2 linked regions of the Sus scrofa genome follow. The protein of the gene in region 2 purifies or fractionates together with the protein of the main gene of each other region. This does not show direct contact. Links are inferred from orthologs where the notes say so. Each region holds a gene or a part of one and is shown on either strand. Other genes may lie near its edges.

What was found.
Region 1: the proteins of DVL1 (region 2) and AXIN1 purify together in Homo sapiens (affinity purification with western blotting; 3 studies listed by BioGRID). This does not show direct contact. The link is inferred for Sus scrofa from reciprocal best matches to the Homo sapiens genes DVL1 and AXIN1.

What each region holds. Positions count from the first base shown.
Region 1 is NC_010445.4:41,383,844-41,391,857, reverse strand, and holds part of AXIN1 (axin-1), read right to left. Parts: intron 5,966-8,014; coding exon 5,439-5,965; intron 4,967-5,438; coding exon 4,796-4,966; intron 2,603-4,795; coding exon 2,357-2,602; exon of another isoform or gene 992-2,356; coding exon of another isoform or gene 884-991; exon of another isoform or gene 1-883. UniProt on the Homo sapiens protein: Component of the beta-catenin destruction complex required for regulating CTNNB1 levels through phosphorylation and ubiquitination, and modulating Wnt-signaling.
Region 2 is NC_010448.4:63,620,608-63,628,621, forward strand, and holds part of DVL1 (segment polarity protein dishevelled homolog DVL-1), read right to left. Parts: intron 3,118-8,014; coding exon 3,048-3,117; intron 2,959-3,047; coding exon 2,837-2,958; intron 2,592-2,836; coding exon 2,488-2,591; intron 2,296-2,487; coding exon 2,157-2,295; intron 1,951-2,156; coding exon 1,857-1,950; intron 1,775-1,856; coding exon 1,705-1,774; intron 1,623-1,704; coding exon 1,483-1,622; intron 1,405-1,482; coding exon 1,328-1,404; intron 1,256-1,327; coding exon 1,188-1,255; intron 1,032-1,187; coding exon 879-1,031; intron 300-878; coding exon 168-299; intron 82-167; coding exon 1-81. UniProt on the Homo sapiens protein: Participates in Wnt signaling by binding to the cytoplasmic C-terminus of frizzled family members and transducing the Wnt signal to down-stream effectors. Plays a role both in canonical and non-canonical Wnt signaling.

The sequences.
Region 1 (8,014 bases), on a different chromosome or scaffold from region 2:
ATGCTTCGGGACAGCAACGTGAGGCCACCGTGCCGTCCCCTCCCGGGCTGGGGGGACCTTCACCCTGACCGGCGGAGGCAGCACCCCTCGTCCTGTACCCGCCCAGCACTGCCAGCGTCACCTGAGGAAGGCCACCTGAGCTCACAGCGGGCTCCACTCTCCTGGCCCCCCAGCCCTCCTGCGCACACAGCAAGCAGTCACCTCAGCCGTGTGGCCACCCACTGCTCGGGCCGGGTTCCCAGGCACCTGAATCCCTTCTCTCAGCCGGCAGCCTCAAACCCAGCTTGTCCCGGGAGCCCACTGGGGGCTCTGGAGCAGTTCACTGTCTACAGAAGGGGACGCAGAGACCCCTGCAGTGTGCATGCGGCTGGACGGGACGACGTGCTGTCAGGGGTGAGCCTGGCGAGGGCTTAGGAGGGACCCGCCTTCTGCTCCGTCTCGAGCACCAGGGCAGGGACGAAGTGGCCGGCCCTGTCTACACACAGCACGTGGCTCCCTGAGACCCAGCCTGGCCCACGTGAGAAAGAGCCAGTCGCTGTGTGCAAAGTGCCCGATGAGGACACCTCGGGCGGCTGTGTGCCAGGGGCGCCCCGGCTGCAGCCCTGACCCCGGCAGGCCAGACAGGTGGCAGCCCAGCGTGTCGCAAGGCCTGGTGGGGGACATGTGGCGGGGGAGCAGGAGGAGTGCGGCCCTCCTCTCCGGCCCAGTGGTGGCGTGTCACCACGTGGACAGTCGGCGGTTCCTTCGGCAGAGACGCAACTTGCAGCCCCGGCTCTTCGGGCGACGTGCCCGAGCTGCCCTCTGGGCAGAGCCATGCCACTGCCGGGCCTGGCCAGCGGGGCAGGGTGGGCAGGATGGGAGGACCGGCGGGGAGCGCACGTGCTCTGCCTCGGAGAGCTCCAGGTCGGACACCGCTGGCACCATGCTCAGCACGGGCGTGCACGCTGGCCTGGCGCACGAGCGCCCCCGCTGGATGACCCCCTGCACATACCTAGGGAACAACGCGCCAGTGAACCGGCGGCAGGCGCAGGTCAGCCGGCTCGGGCAGGGCTCCCGCACGGGAGGCGCCCAGGACGTGGCTGCTGGAGCAGGGCTGAGAACGCTGGGCTCCTCGGGTGCATCCACACCAACACGCGCCCGTCCATCCAGAGCGGACCTCGGGCTCCCGGAGCTGCTCGTCCACACGCACGCCGGGGGCCTCGGCCTTCATGGGGGGCTGCCGCTTCGGCCCGAGGAGTGGCTCTTCCCATGCCGCGCTCCACGCAGACCCGGGCTCTGCGGCATCTGGAGGGCACGCCGCCCAGCCGCTCCTCTCCCCGGGGCCGTCCACCCCGGCTGACGTGGCCTTGAGGTGACTTCTACGTGATCAGCCTGGGGGGGCCGCCCCATGAGGAGGCCCGGCGACCTTTGCTCTGGGTCTGTAGCCAGTGGCCAAAGGCCCGCATGCCCTGGGCCGACCCGTATGTGGCTCAGCTCGGTGTCGCGGGCCAGAGAGGACATGCTGCACAGAGGAGGTCCTTGCGTCCCAGCCCTGGCGCCCTGCCTGCCTCCAGCGCGCAGGCCTGTCAGATGGGGGCGGCCCCCGGGCTCTGCACCGACAGAAGACCCCGGGATAAGACAGCGGCAGTAAATGTGGGTGCCTCTGACAAGCTGGGGTACACGTCCTGCTTCTGGCTGTGCCTGAGATGGACGCTGGCGTCCCCAGAGCAGGGCGGTCCACACAGTGAGGCTGGAGCCAGAGGTCCGGCTGACAGGAGTCGGCGCGAGGGGAGCCAATGAGGCCTGAGCAGCAGTGGCCGCAGGTTTACGACCCCACTGCCCAGGCTGCCCGGCCCCTCCCAGGAAAGGGACCTCAAGGCCCAGCTGAGAGGGTCCAGCCTGGAGGAACAATATGCCCCCACCAAGGGGGGGCCCCCGGCTCCCTCAGGGGGAGAAGACGGCCTGGCAGGGTGACACAGCAGCCAGGCCCACCGCCCGGCCCTGCAGGCGGAGAAGGGAAGGGAGGAAGGCGGTGTCTCTCTAAATGCGACGGCCCTACGTGTCTCAGCACAGACACCTGCCCCAACAGGACGCCCGCGTGCACGTGAACGGCCCGTTCAGGGACCACCCTGTGAGCTCGGCCGGCTCAGCAGCCCCTGGTGGTCTGACCGCAACCTCGGAGCCGCAGGGTGAAGGCCAGTGAGCGCCCTCACAGGGCAGCAGTGACTCGGGGAGGCTCCCCTCGCTCCCCAGCCCCGACACACGCCGCAGGCCCCGGGAGCGTCACCCAGGAAGCGGGGCCACAGCGTCGCAGCGCCACGGCACGGGGGTCGGGGGGAGCCGGACAGGCAGCCCCTGCCCTCCCTGAGGCCCGTACCTCTGCTTGGAGGGCACCTTGCTGGCTCGCTTCTCCTCCTCCTCCAGACGCCGGCGGGCCTCCTCCAGCTGCGTCAGGGGGTTGGGGGCCGGGTTGGGCGGCATCGTGGGGTCTTGAATGAAGAGATGCGAGGGCTGGACGGAGTTGCGGAGCTGGGCGCTGACCCAAGGGTGCACGGCCCCAGGACGCTCGATGGACAGGGGCCTGGAGCTCTCATGGGCCTGCTGCTTCTTTGCCCCAGACGACCTGCGGGGTCAGAGAGAAGATGAGGCAGCTGCCTAAGCCCGTGCCCCGGCCTCCAGCACGCCCGGCACACAGCGCGTTCCCGACACCGGTTTCCTACTGGGTTTAAGAGCGTTACTGAACTGTAAACTGCATCCCATGCAAACACCGTCCCCTCCTGCCTCCTGCATGCGGGAAAGTCGATGAAAAAACAAATCAATTTGGAAATTGCCACTCTTGGAATATTTAGTGTATTTCTTTCCTTGTTAAAAATACTTCACCGGGGGGTGCCCGTCGTGGCGCAGTGGTTAACGAATCCGACTAAAAACCATGAGGTGGCGGGTTCGATCCCTGGCCTCTCTCAGTGGGTGAAGGATCCGGCGTTGCCGTGAGCTGTGGTGTAGGTTGCAGACGCAGCTCGGATCCCGTGTTGCTGTGGCTCTGGCGTAGGCCGGTGGATGCAGCTCCGATTCGACCCCTAGCCTGGGAACCTCCATATGCCACGGGAGCAGCCCCAGAAAGGGCAAAAAGACAAAAAAAAAAAAACTTCACCGGGCAGTGCCTGTCGTGGCTCAATGGTTAACGAACCCGACTAGCATCTTTAAGGACGCTGGTTCGATCCCTGGCCTCGCTCACTGGGTTAAGGATCTGGTGTTGACGTGAGCTGTGGTGGAGGCCGGCAGCTGTGGTGGAGGCCGGCAGCTGTGGTGGAGGCCGGCAGCTGTGGCTCCAATTCGCTACAGCTGGGAAATTCCTGGGACCTTCCATAGGCCGCAAGTGCGGCCCTCAAACAAAAGGGCCCCCCCAAAAACCCCCGACATAGTTGACATAATTCTGCACCTATCAATTCCCTGATTTTCCCTCAACGTGCTGCCCATTCTCCTTTATCAGACACTGAGAACAGGCTGCACCTGGGTGACCGGCCCTTGCTCGCCCACTAGGGGGATCTGAGGGGAAACAGCGGCTTCTCTGAGCTGAGCCCGGAGGCCTCGGAAAGCAAGCTTAGCACCGGGAGCAAAAACCAGAGAATCCCGGAGTTCCCGTCGTGGCTCAGAGGGTGACAAACCCGACTAGTATCCATGAGGTTGCGGGTTCGATCCCTGGCCTCGCCCAGTGGGTGAAGGATCCGGCGTTACCCTGAGCTGTGATGAAGCTTGCAGATGCGGCTCGGATCCTGTGTTGCTGCGGCTGTGCCGTAGGCCGGTGGCTACAGCTCCGATTGGACCCCTAGCCTGGGAACCTCCATGTGTGTGGCCCTAAAAAGACAAAAGACAAAAAAAAAAAAAGAGAATCCCAGGAAGGGGCCGCCAGTGCCCCTGTGACACCAAAACCGCCTCAGGCTGGGGGCGGACTCCAAAAAGCCCCACAGGAAGCCCAGCCCCTGGCCCTGGCTCCTTGCTCCTCCCTCCCCGCCCAGGGCCATTGGTCCCCACGCTGCCACCCCCCAGGTCCACAGCCACGCAGAGGGCAGGAGGCTGCCGAAGCCGGGAGACCCTTCCACTCCTGCTCTGTCCCCTAGAAACTCTCCATGCAGTAGGCGCTGCGAGGACAGAGCCACCCCTGGTGAACATCAGAGGCTGAGAATCCACCCCACCCAACCCCACGAGGAGGGGCTCCCAGAGTGGGCCCCCGAGCAGCACGGCTGCAAAGCGTCTGGACACTGGCAGAGGGCTCATTTCCAGGTCGCCTGCAGGCAAGATCAGGGACCCCGGGTCCAACTCGCCTGCCTCATGCACCACTGAGGCCTCCCCAGCCGTGCCCGGGAGGGCAGAGGGCATCTGCCTGTGGGAGTCGGATGGCCTGCCCACCAAGGGGAGACTCCAGCAGCCTCGGGCCCCCATCCCCCCCGTGATGGGGACGGGGGTGACACCGAGACTGACCACACAGAGCCCAGAGGATCAAAGAGCAGATGAGAACCGGCCCCCAGCTGCCAGGGATAAGCAGGTCAGACCCGGAAGGCATCCAGGTGGCAGCAGCCCCTGCCTGGCAGGCCTCGAGGTAGGTGGGTGGCAGCGGGGACAGACATTGAAGCTCCCTGACGATCCCGCCCCCACAGGAAGGCACCACCCTAAGGCTACCACGGACCGGGCCCCATTCTACAGGTTTCTCGTGTCCACGGCCCGTGGCCCGTGGCTAGACCAGCTGGTCAGGTTGCTGGCAGGGGGCCCCCCTCAGCTGTGCCCTCTCACCCAGGCCCCCTCGGCCACGCCCCCTCACCCATGCCCAGCCTTCCGGTGCCTGCTGATCTCCTTCTCGCCCTCGATGATCCACTGCATGATCTTCTGGTTCTTCTCCGCATCCTCGGAGGGGCCCGGTGCCTCTGCGCTGGCACTCCTCCCTGACTCGGCCTTCTTGGCGCTTCTTTTGGAGGTCATGCCTGCCTTGCCGCTGCAAGAGCAAGACCCGGGCCACCGCTGCCGTCCGCTGGCCTGCTGCTGCTGCGAGCCGTATGGTGGGGGGAGGGGGACCCAAAGGGCAGAGGCCTCGACAGCGCCGCGGGCTGGATGCGACGGCGGGGAGGGAAGGAAGGGTCCAGCAGCACCGTCTGGGAGGGCTGGAGCCAAGGTGGTAGCAGCCAGGGCCCGGCCACCTCCTCACCCAGGCAGGCCCTCGGCACTGGGCGCATCTGATCCCACCACACTCGAGGCGGAAGCCCAGGGATCAGGACGCCCGGGCACACGGGTTTAATGCAGCCTCTGGGGCTGACCTCAGTTTAAGGACTGTTACAGGGGAATCCGGCGTGGACCCTGGCACAGGGTCCACAGGACACACGGCCTCAGGCCTCGAGCCGACACCGACACGGGACGACGTGAGCACAGCCCTGGCCTGTCCCCACGTGCGGGCTGCCGCAGACACCCACCTGTAGGCCAGGCTGTCACCGGTGTTGAGAGGGGTCCCCAGGCTCTCCAAGTGGCTGCGGGGCTTGGCCGCGTGGCCGTGCAGCTCCGGGCCCCATGCGAAGCTGCTCTGGACCCGGCGGGAGGCCTCGGCCTCGGCCGGCTCCTTGGGCCTGGCGGCACCATGGTGGCCATGGTGGTGGCTGTGTCTGTGGAGGTGCAGGCCAGCTGCGTCGAGCTTCACCCCCAACTTGGGCGCGTGCTTTCCGTGTCCGGGCACCGCGGCCCCCAGCACCCCGATCTTGGGCATGTGCGAGTTCTCCGGGGAGCGGTGGCCGGGTCCTGGCGACTGGCAGCCCGGTGTCCGCATGACCCGCTGCACGTGCTCGTCCAGGATGCTCTCGGGGTTCTCCTCGTGCGCGTCCCGCAGCCCCACGCAGCCCACGTCCGCGTAGCGCGCTGGGAAGTGGTGCCAGGCCGGGGCCGCAGGCAGCTTGTGACTGGCCCCTGGGGGGGCAGAGGACACATCACCACCTTCGCCTTCCTCCTCCTGTGGGGACAAGGCTGCGCGTCACCTCTTGGCACTGCCCACACCGTAGAAGTCCCACACCTGAGGAGACAAACACCAGACCAGCAGAGGCCAGGACTAGGCGGGGCCAGGCCAGGGTCCCTCGCATGCGGCAGGGCTGTGGGTGGGCTGCGCGGCAGGAGGGCGCCCAGGAGGGGCACGAAGCCACAGGCCCAGAAGCCCGCCAGGAAGCTGGGCCCTGCCTCTGCTTTCTCCGATGCCTCAATAAAAACTGCACTGTTTTTGAGTTTTCCTACTCCTCAATCTCACGGCCGTATCTTCCATCATGCCCATCGACAGATGAGCTCTTTTTCGTCTTTTTTTAAAAGGGCCGCACTCGGGGCACATGGAGCTTCCCCGGCTAAGGGTCCAATCGGAGCTACAGCTGCTGGCCTACAGCACAGCCACAGCCACGCCGGATCCTTAACCCGCTGAGCGAGGCCAGGGATCGAACCCCCAACCTCATGGTTCCTAGTCGGATGCGTTTCCGCTGCGCCACGATGGGAACTCCAATTCTCACCCTGAGCCAGTGGTTTCCCTGGACTCAAACAGTGACCACACCCATATCTGTACACAGGAATGTGTGATTGCTGTAATTCCTGAAGGGACACCTGTTTGGGATTCCTGTCTCGCGGGCTCGCCCCCACCAGCATGCGGAGTGAGACGGTCACGACTGAGAGACCGGGAGACAAAGCCGCCCTGGATGAGCACGAACAGGTCTCCACAGGTCTACCGCCCAGCTCCTCGGCCCTGCACAGCGGCAGCGTGTCACGTGGACGAGCCGCCAAAGAGGACAGATGGGGAGAGGGGCACGGACCCAGGGGACGCGCACCTCACGGGCGTGGCTGGGAGTCGCCCCAGCAGAGACCCGACCAGTGTCTCCGTCCCAGCCCCACGCTCTGCAGGGATGAGGGGCTGGGGGCCCCGGGAAACTGTTGGCCAGGCCTTGGTGGCCTGGGCGCTGCTGACGCCGACTGCCCTGAAAGGCCAGGGAGCCACGGGGAGCTTCTGGACGCCTGGGGACCCGAGCTCCAGCCTCCTTAACAGCTCTGCGTGCACCGAAATTCCACCTGGGGTTTCAAAATGCCACAGGTTCACCTAACATTCAGCTGCTAATATTCTTTTTCTTTTTCTTTCTTTGTTTTTCCTGGCTTTTTAGGGCCGCGCCTGTGGCACATGGCGGTTCCCAGGCCAGGGGCTGAATCGGAGCTGCAGCTGCCGGCCTCCACCACCGCCACAGCCACACCACATCCGTCACCCACTGAGTGGGGCTGGGGCTCAAACCCGAGTCCTCATGGACACTAGGTGGGTTCATTACTGCTAAACCACCACGAGAACCCCCATTTTCTTTTACTTTTATTTTCCAGATTTTACAATGAAAATAAGTCATTTAAAAATGCGTAGTTATTCCTCTTAGAAGAGAAATCTCTTTCCCAGTACAACTCACCTAAGTTACAATCGCACCCGCTAACAAACCTGAGATGGCGCTGCCAGCTGTAGGGACCCCAACCCGAGGCCCCCACACGAAGCCCACCTGAGATGGAGGCCCTGCGCCCTCCTCCTGCTTCCTGAACTGACCCTGGAGAAATGCAGGGCTGCTCGTTTACACGCTGCCAAATGAGAGAACAGCACCCCGTCTGCCCTCGCCTGCCGGGACGCCACAGAGTCTCAGACTCAGATGTCAGACACACAGGCTCAGGAGCTCCTACTGTGGTGCAATGGCTTAAGACCCTGACTGCGGCTGCTCAGGATGCTACGGAGGCACGGGTTCGAACCCCGGCCCGGTGCGGTGAGAGACAGGATCTGATGATGCCACAGCTGCTGTGTATGGCCTGGCTGTGGCTCAGATCTGATCCCTGGCCCAGGAACTTCATGTGCCATGGTGCGGCCATAAAAACAAAACAAAAAAGAAGTGCCTGCTCCAACCTACGGCCACAACTGCCTGGGGAAGGCGGAGGTCCCCCTGCAACGCTGACCTGCCGGGACCACGAGGACACACAGCCCTGGAGCCGAGACCAAAACCTGGACCAC
Region 2 (8,014 bases):
TGCTGCTGGCGTACCTGCGCGCCTCCCGCCGCTCGCGGAAGCCCTCCAGGTGCGTGTACAGCCAGTCCACCACGTCCGCCCCTGGCGCAGCCGGCGTCAGGCGTCAGGTGGGGAGCCTGGGCCGCGCCCCACCGCCCCCAAGCCCCCCGCTGCCCAGGGCCCCGCACCGATGACGGCATTGGCGATGGTGATCTTGAGCCACATGCGGTCGCGGATCTCCAGGCCCGAGTCCGGCAGCTGCATGACCCGGACGACAGCACCCATGTCACTCTTCACCGTCAGGGGCGCCTCCTCCAGCTCTGCAAGGCACACCCCGCGCTCAGCCACGGCCGGGAGCACAGCCGCGAGCACGGCCGCAAGGACCCTCCACCACCCACCCGACCGCCCGCACAGGGTCAGGGAGCGGCCTGGGGCGGGGAGGGTGGGGCCTCATCTCCAACAGGGAGATGCTTCACCAGGTCTTGTGGCCAACCAGGCGAGGCCACCCCCGCCCTGCAGACCGGACCCCACGGGGCGGAGACCAGACCCCCTCCACCCCCTTCCCCGCAAGCTGGGCCTATTAGTCATGTTAGTGGCAGAAAAGCAGCGTGAGGGCCACACGGATGCCGCCTGCCCCTGCCAGATAGCAGACCCTTGGGCAGGCCCGGCCCGGCCCCCCAGGCCCTTCCCTCCCACTACAGACAGAGGGCTGGGAAGAGGGTGCGAGCGTGGGCGCCCATGTGTCCGTGACCCCAGGGTACAGTGTCCGCCCTCGTGGGCCTGGCACCAGCACCAACGCTCAAGCCGGGATGGCCCTCGGGGGTGGCCGTGCCAGGCAGGCGCCTCGGCTGGGCCCTCACGGGTGCCTCCGTTTTCTGATCTCAGGAGCCGCCACTTACGCGGAGCGCCGGGCACAGAGCTGGTTAGTGAGGAGGAGCTGGTGCGCGTGACGGCGCTGGAGCAGGGGCTCGTACCGTAGCGGGGCAGGGCTCCGGTCAGCGCCGCCGTGTGGGACAGCCAGGCGGCCGGGTCGATGGGCCGAACCGGGTCAGCTGGGCAGCCACCGTGTGGCGACAGACGAATGGACAGTGGGGAAGAAGGCAGAGCACAGGGGCACAGGAGCACAGGGAGAGAGGCCCTTCAGGCTGGGCTGGGCGCCCCCGCCCCCGCCCCCGCCCTGCCCCGCCAGCCCCGGGGGGGTCACTCACCCCTCGGGATGGTGAAGTAGCTCCGAGGGCTTGGGTCCCAGCACTTGGCCACCGTGAGGCTGATGGGCCTGCGGGGTGGGCGGGTCACACCGGCGAGGCCCCAAGCAGCACCCCCTCCCCCCGCCACGCGCGCGCCTCACCCCGTCTGGGACACAATCTCCCGCAGCACCCGCACGGCGTCGTCGTTGCTCATGTTCTCGAAGTTGACGTCATTCACCTGGGGCGGGGGGTCAGCACAGTGGTGGGGGGTGCAGACCTCGCCCGCCCCTCCCCGCGGCCCCTGGCAGCCCCACACCTGCAGCAGCATGTCGCCCGGCTCGATGCGGCCGTCGGCGGCCACAGCCCCGCCCTTCATGATGGAGCCGATGTAGATGCCGCCATCGCCCCGGTCGTTGCTCTGGCCCACGATGCTGATGCCCAGGAAATGGTGCCTCTCTGCGGGGCCGGGTGTGTGAACAAGCGCCCCCCGCCCCCGAGCCCCGGGCCCCTCTGGCGGCGGCGGCGGCAGAGGCCTCACCCATGTTGAGCGTGACGGTGATGATGTTCAGCGACATGGTGGAGTCCGTGATGCTGCTGAAGGAGGAGGCCTGCGGGGGCGGCCCTGGGTGAGGGGCTGCGGGCGGCGCGGCGGCCCCAGGGGACAGAGCGGCCCGCACCCCCTCCACCTACGCGGTCCGTCTGGCGCATGCGCTGCTTCCGCCGGCGCCGCTTGTGCTTCCGGATGAGCCGGGACGAGGTGCTCTGCTCGGTGGAGCTGCTCAGCCTGCGGGGGCACAGGGTCAGGGCGCCGGCAGCCTCTCCGCCTGCACGCACCCCAGGGAAGCCCGCGCGGGACGCGCTGCGGAACGGGCTCAGCCCCTGCTCCCGCAACAGGAGCCCCACGGCTCGGCAGACACGAGGCAGCCGGCCCGGCCCCTGCTCGTGGGCACACGGACACCCGCACGCGCCTGGACACCCGCCCATGCCCACCGACTGGTGTTGTCGTCCTCGTCCGAGTCGATGAAGCTGCTGGACTCGAGCTCGCTGCTCAGCACAGTGGACGCGCTGTCGGGGGGCAGCCCCAGATCCCGCCGCCGGTCCCCCCTCGGGTGCCCGTTGGTCCGGGCAGCTGTGGGCACAGCAGGGAGGGGAGATGGCTGCGGGGTGCCCTGGAGCACCTGTTGCTGGGGTTGCTGCAGAGGGGGGGTCGCTAGGATCCTGTCAGCTGAGTCAGGAACCTCCACCGAGGGACCCCACTGGACAGCAGGGGCCTGGGGTGCCCCCCAGGGGCCCAGGGAGGTCAAAGGTGTGGCCTAATTACCCTCCTCACGGTTCCGGCGGCGAGCTCGCTCCCGCCGGTGGCTGACCACGGACTCTGTGCCAGTCTCGTTGTCCATCCCATCGCGGCTGCTGGCCACGTTCGGGCTGCGCCAAGAGGAAGGCAGGGTGGGGCAGGCCGGGCCGTGGATGCCCTCAGCTCCTTTCCTCCCTCATCTGGTGGAACTCCAACTCTGGCAAGGGCCCCCATCCACCCCCCAGCCCGCTCTGGGCCCCTGCTGACCAGCGCTTGCTGACCACAGGCCCCTGCTCTGCTGCCCCTCTCCATCCCCAACAGGCCTGGCAGGTCCCTCAGGACCACTGGGCTCAGCGCCACCCCCCAGAGTCCTTACTGGAAGGAGGGGGGCCGGGAGTCCCCGATGCCACCCGTCCGCTCAAGAGGTGGGGGCAGGTCCGCGTGGCCATCAGTGCCCTGAGACCCCGCATCCGAGTGTGCGCCCTCAGCCAGGACCAGCTGCAGAGGAGAGCGAGGACTCAGGGACGAGGCTTCCAGGCCACCCCGGCAGGGCCCCGGGCACAGGTGTCCAGCCCCTGCAGACTCACCCAGGAGACCACACGGCCGTTGAAGCAGGGCAGCTTGGCATTATCGTCAGAGATCTCCTCCTTCACCACCCTGTGGGCAGACAGTCGTGAAGCTGCCACCCTGGGGGCTGCCCCGTCTGTGGCCAGCAGGCGCTGGAGTAAGGCCCCCAGCTGGCCTGGGGCATGTGCCACCTGGGGCGTCCAGCCACAGGCCCAGAGGTCAGTCCCTGTGGACGCCCTGGTCCAGCACATTCCCTTCCTGGGAAACTCCAGCATCCTTCCAAGGACTCAGGGGGCACAGACACTCGACCCCCCAGCAGCAGATCACAGCCTAGGGCTCCGTGGAACAACCCACCCTGCATGGTGCCTGCGCCCCTGGAGTGTGGATCTGGAGGGCGGGGCCCGCCCCACCGGCCCAGAACAGCACCCGGTTCGCAATGCGGAGGGCCGCGGCACAAAGGGACCCCTAGACCCAGGCAGGCCAGGGTGCCCGGCACACGGACCCACAAGCACACACACTCAGAGGCATGCCCATCGGCGACCAGGGACACAGAAGCAGATGCCACTCACTGCACCAGCCCAATGCAAGACCTGGAAAAGTAGGCTTAGGGCCAGCTGGGCCCACAAGAAGGCTCAGGTCCTGGAGGTCAGCGAGCCCCACCAGCCACTGCCCAGCAGCTAGCCCTGGCCTGTCCCTCGATGCTGCCCCAGCCGGGTGAGCTTGAGGGGTGGGAAGGGCAGGTCGCAGAGGGCCAGGGCAGCACCCACTGGGAAGGACGCTAGTGACCCTGGGGTCAGAAACAGGTTCAGGAGATCTAGGCATCAGGTTCAAAGGAGTGAGGAGGGCAGCAGGGGAGGGGCTGTGGGGCAGGGCAGGGCAGGCTGTGGCCATGGCCGTGGCCCCGCACATCCTGTACTGCAACCTCCTGGAGGCCGGGGGTGGGGGGTGTGGGGGGGGAAGCAGGGCAGGCAGGGCGGGGCCTGCAGTGGGAAGGGCCCCGGCGCCTGCCCCCTGGAATCCGCCCTGCCCAGCGTGCAGACGTCTACACCTGGGACTGAGGCCCAGTGCAGAAAGAAGAGCCAGAGACCAGGCAGGAAACAGCCTCACAGCCTGCTGGGCCTGGACCCCTCCACTTGGCTGGTCCCAGGCCGCAGCAAGGGCAGGAGTCCCCCGCAGAGCTGACACACCACCTCCCACCAGGGAGCAGGGCCCTTGGGGCAGAGTGGATGTGGAGCAGACAGAGCCCGTCTGGAGAGGGAGGGCACTGCCGGGGGCTACGGTGACCACCTGCCCCCCGCCCCCGGCCACCCACACACACACACACAATAGGGGGACACCCTGGCAGATGAAAAGAGCCACTCCTCGGACCCCTCCTCTCCCTAGTGACGAGCAGACCCTGCCTGCGGCCCCACTCTCACACCACGTCCGGGACCAGTCCAAGATTCAACCGAGAAAGCTACACAGAGAGCTGTCACCACAGGAAGACCTGGGTGGCCTGGGGACACCTGGGGTCCTGCCCATCTGCAGCCAACATACAAGGGACTACAGCAAGCCCTCCTGGGCACCCAAGCAGCCACAGACCCAGGAGGGACCTGGTGCCCGCTTCACGGCCCAGGGAGCCCAGCCAGCCACCTCCGCTGCACCCCCGCCCCCACCCTTTGTGACTCATCCTTGGGGCCTGCCTGGCACCCTTGAGGCAGGCACCCCAGGCCGGGGGGCCCAGGAGCACCCCAAGGCCCCACTGCCCATGCAGCCAGTACCCCAAGATGGCCCATCCCCCAGAGCTGCCTGAAGCCTCCACGCACCCACCCACCCAGGCACACCCCTCCCAGGCCCCCCTTCGCCGGCCCTCTGTGGCTAAGAAACACCCCTCCCAGCCTGCGCAGGACAGCGTCCTGCTCCCTGGAGGTTGGGGCACTGAGGGGCAGCTAGGCCGGGACAGCAGGGAGGGGGGGGCAGGTGTCCAAGCCCCCAGGAAAAAGGGTACGGGGTGCGCAGTGCTGCCCACCCCCGCCGATGGCCAGGAAGAGGGACAGGGTGGGATCCAGGGAGACCTGGGCTGTGCACAGGAGAGGCCCCCAGACCACCCTGGGCTCCCTCCCGGGTGGGGCCTCAGCAGGCAGGAGCGCAGGCCTCGGGAGCAGTGGTCGATGAAGGCACTGACCCTCGGGCTGGCTGCCCAGGGACACCCCTGTTGGCACCTTGCCCCCAACCTCAGAGTTCCTGGCGAGATCCCAGTTAACATCCAACTTGGGATGCCCAGCCCCACCTGCCGCCCTCGCAGACTCGCCCCAGTGAGGAATCTGCTCGAAGTGGGGCCCTTGGAACGAAGCCAGGGGCCAGGAGGACCCCTGGGCCCCCAGAGGCCACCGCACACCACAGCCGGCCCTTCCCGACCGGGTGGCCCCAACTGTGTCCCCATGAGTTGGGGGTCCTCAGCTCCCACAGAGCCTTCATCTGTCCCCTCACTGTCTCCTGACCAGCAGTAGGCTCCAGGGTGAGGGGTCCCAGTCCTCCACGACCTGCCGCGGGCTCTGGGGGTCACAGGTCTAGACTTTCCCGAGCCCAGCGGGCTGAGCGGCAGCGGTAGAGGGGGACCGCGGGCCTTCTGGGCCAGGCCAAGCACAGCACCCCCACGCCACCCAAAACCATGACAGGTGGCCCCACAGACTGGAGCTCCTAGCCCAGACGCCAAGGGGCCAGGGCCACCACCAGACAGATGGCTTCATGCCAAGAGCAGCCAGGCCTGGAACCTGCAAAGCGGCCCTAGTGGCAGAAACCTGTGACCAAATGCCCTCAACCTCTGCCCCTTGGCCCCAAGGCCAGGCCAAGCCCCTCCTTGCACCAGCACTGGCCCACCTCCGGGCCAGCCCTCCCCAGGCCCAGAGACCCTCCCCAGCTTTGCTAGGACACAATAGCTGTGACCTGCATAGGAAAAGTGGGAAGTGGGTGCAGGACTTGCCGCCCTTTTGGTCAAAGAGGCCCACGGGGAAGAGAGGGGGTCGGCCCAGAGCACGTGGCTATGGCCACACCTCAGGCTCCCACAGTGGCCTGAGGGGTTGGGGCAGGATGCCCAGGCTCACCTGGCGCTCCTCACAGTCCCCTCTCCTGAGACAGCTTCTGCCCCAGCCCAGCCAGGACCTACACTCTCCACAACCTCCAACTACATCCACTAGGTATCCAGGACGAGCCTCCAGTTCTGGTTTATACTAAGGTGTGAATGACTAACCAGCTCCTCCCAGAGAAAACTTATTCCACTGAATAAGCGACTTTACAGAATAAATAAGAGCTAGAGCTCTGCAGGTAGATCTTAGTATGGTGGAGAAGGAGGCTGATCCTCTCCAAGGGTCCCCTGAGGCCAATAGCCCACAAACCAGAGATCGGGGTGGGGGATAAGATGAACTTTCCAAAGTCACCCCAAACCCTCCCTCTGTCCCAGCCCCATCTGCCAGACTGCTCTTATTCCCTCCCCCACATTCCAGACATGCTCAGGTGACCTGAAGAGCTCCTACTCATGCTTTAGGACCCAGATCTGCCCGCCCACTGTCCTCCTAGGCCAGGGAACCCAGGTCCTGCAAGTCCTCCAGGAGGCCCGGCCTCTGCTGGGAGAACACGTTGAGCGGGACAGGGGTCTCGGCAGCTTAGTGGCTCTCAGACACAGGAGCAGGGTCAGACCCCTCAGGATGCAGCCCGGATCACGGTCCAAGGGCAGCAAGCTGGGGGGCTGGGCACATGCCTGGACACACACTCCCTGCTGGCTTCAGTTTGTGACAGAGCATGTGCGACTTGAGTGATTTTTATTAAAATAATCAAGTTAAAAACGAAACACTTTCACATACCCAATGCTAACACCCAAAGCAGGCCAGACCCAGAGAAGATGGGATGGCCCAGCGAGGTCCATGCTGGGATCACATGCCCTTAAATGATGCCCTACCCTGTGGAGCCCAGCCTGGGCCCAGCAGGGCGGGGGGCACCGAGCTTTCCGATGCTGTCCCAGACACACCCTCCCGTCTCTGCCTCTCCCTCGTGCTGGGCAGGCCCAAGGGAGTCCAGTTGTCCACATGGCCCTCAGGCCTCCCTGAGAGCCACACAGCGGCCTCAGCTTGACTTGACCTGGGCCTACGAACCGCAGAATCCAGGAAACGGCCTCAATGTCAAAGTCCCGAGGCGCAGCCACACACAAGGACACGGGCTGCCCGAGGGCACCCAGGCACACCTGCTCGGCCCATGAAGCCTCTGGGTGCCCCCCCAGCGCTGCTGAGCAGGGGACTCAGGTTACCCGTGGCTGTGCTGGGTCAGGCCTCTGCTCACCACTCACTGTTCTAGAGGCTCAGCTGCCCCGCACAACTGAGAAGTCCCCTTGGTCAGGACAGCCACTGCTAAGTGCAGACATAGGGACCCTGACCCAGAGGCTGCTCCAGGAACCCAAGGGCTGTGTGGCTCAGCACAGACAGAGGCCCTGCAGCCAGCAACCCCAGGGCAGGCCCATGGTCACTAGTGACCCCTGACCTCTGCCCTGTCCTGAGGACTCTGGAGACCAAGAGGAGGCTGTCTCTAGCCTCCAGAAACTGCTGCAGACCCCAGCAGACAGACTTGTATCCCTGTCCAGATCATCTCATTTCCCCCGTGCTAACTAGGGGACCCACTGGGTGGCTGCCCCCCCACTCCAACCCCTTCCACGGGACACTCCGACACTCCTCTGACCCGAGTCCCACGAATCTCAGGCTGTCCAGGTCATGCCTAAGCACCTGCCCTCCACAGAAGCGAGACAGGAAGCGGGCCCTGACGCTGGCAGATGCCAGGGTGGGCTTCCGGAGACCTCCACCACCGCAGGTCATACACACTCAGAACAGGACGGGAGCCGCGAGGAGGGCTGGAGTGGAGAAGCCAGGATCCCCGCCTGCCCACGGGTCAGAGCTCAAAGGCTCCCGGGCAGGCAGGCAGGGGCCCGGGCGACCCCTGCTCAGGATACAGACAGGTAGGACAC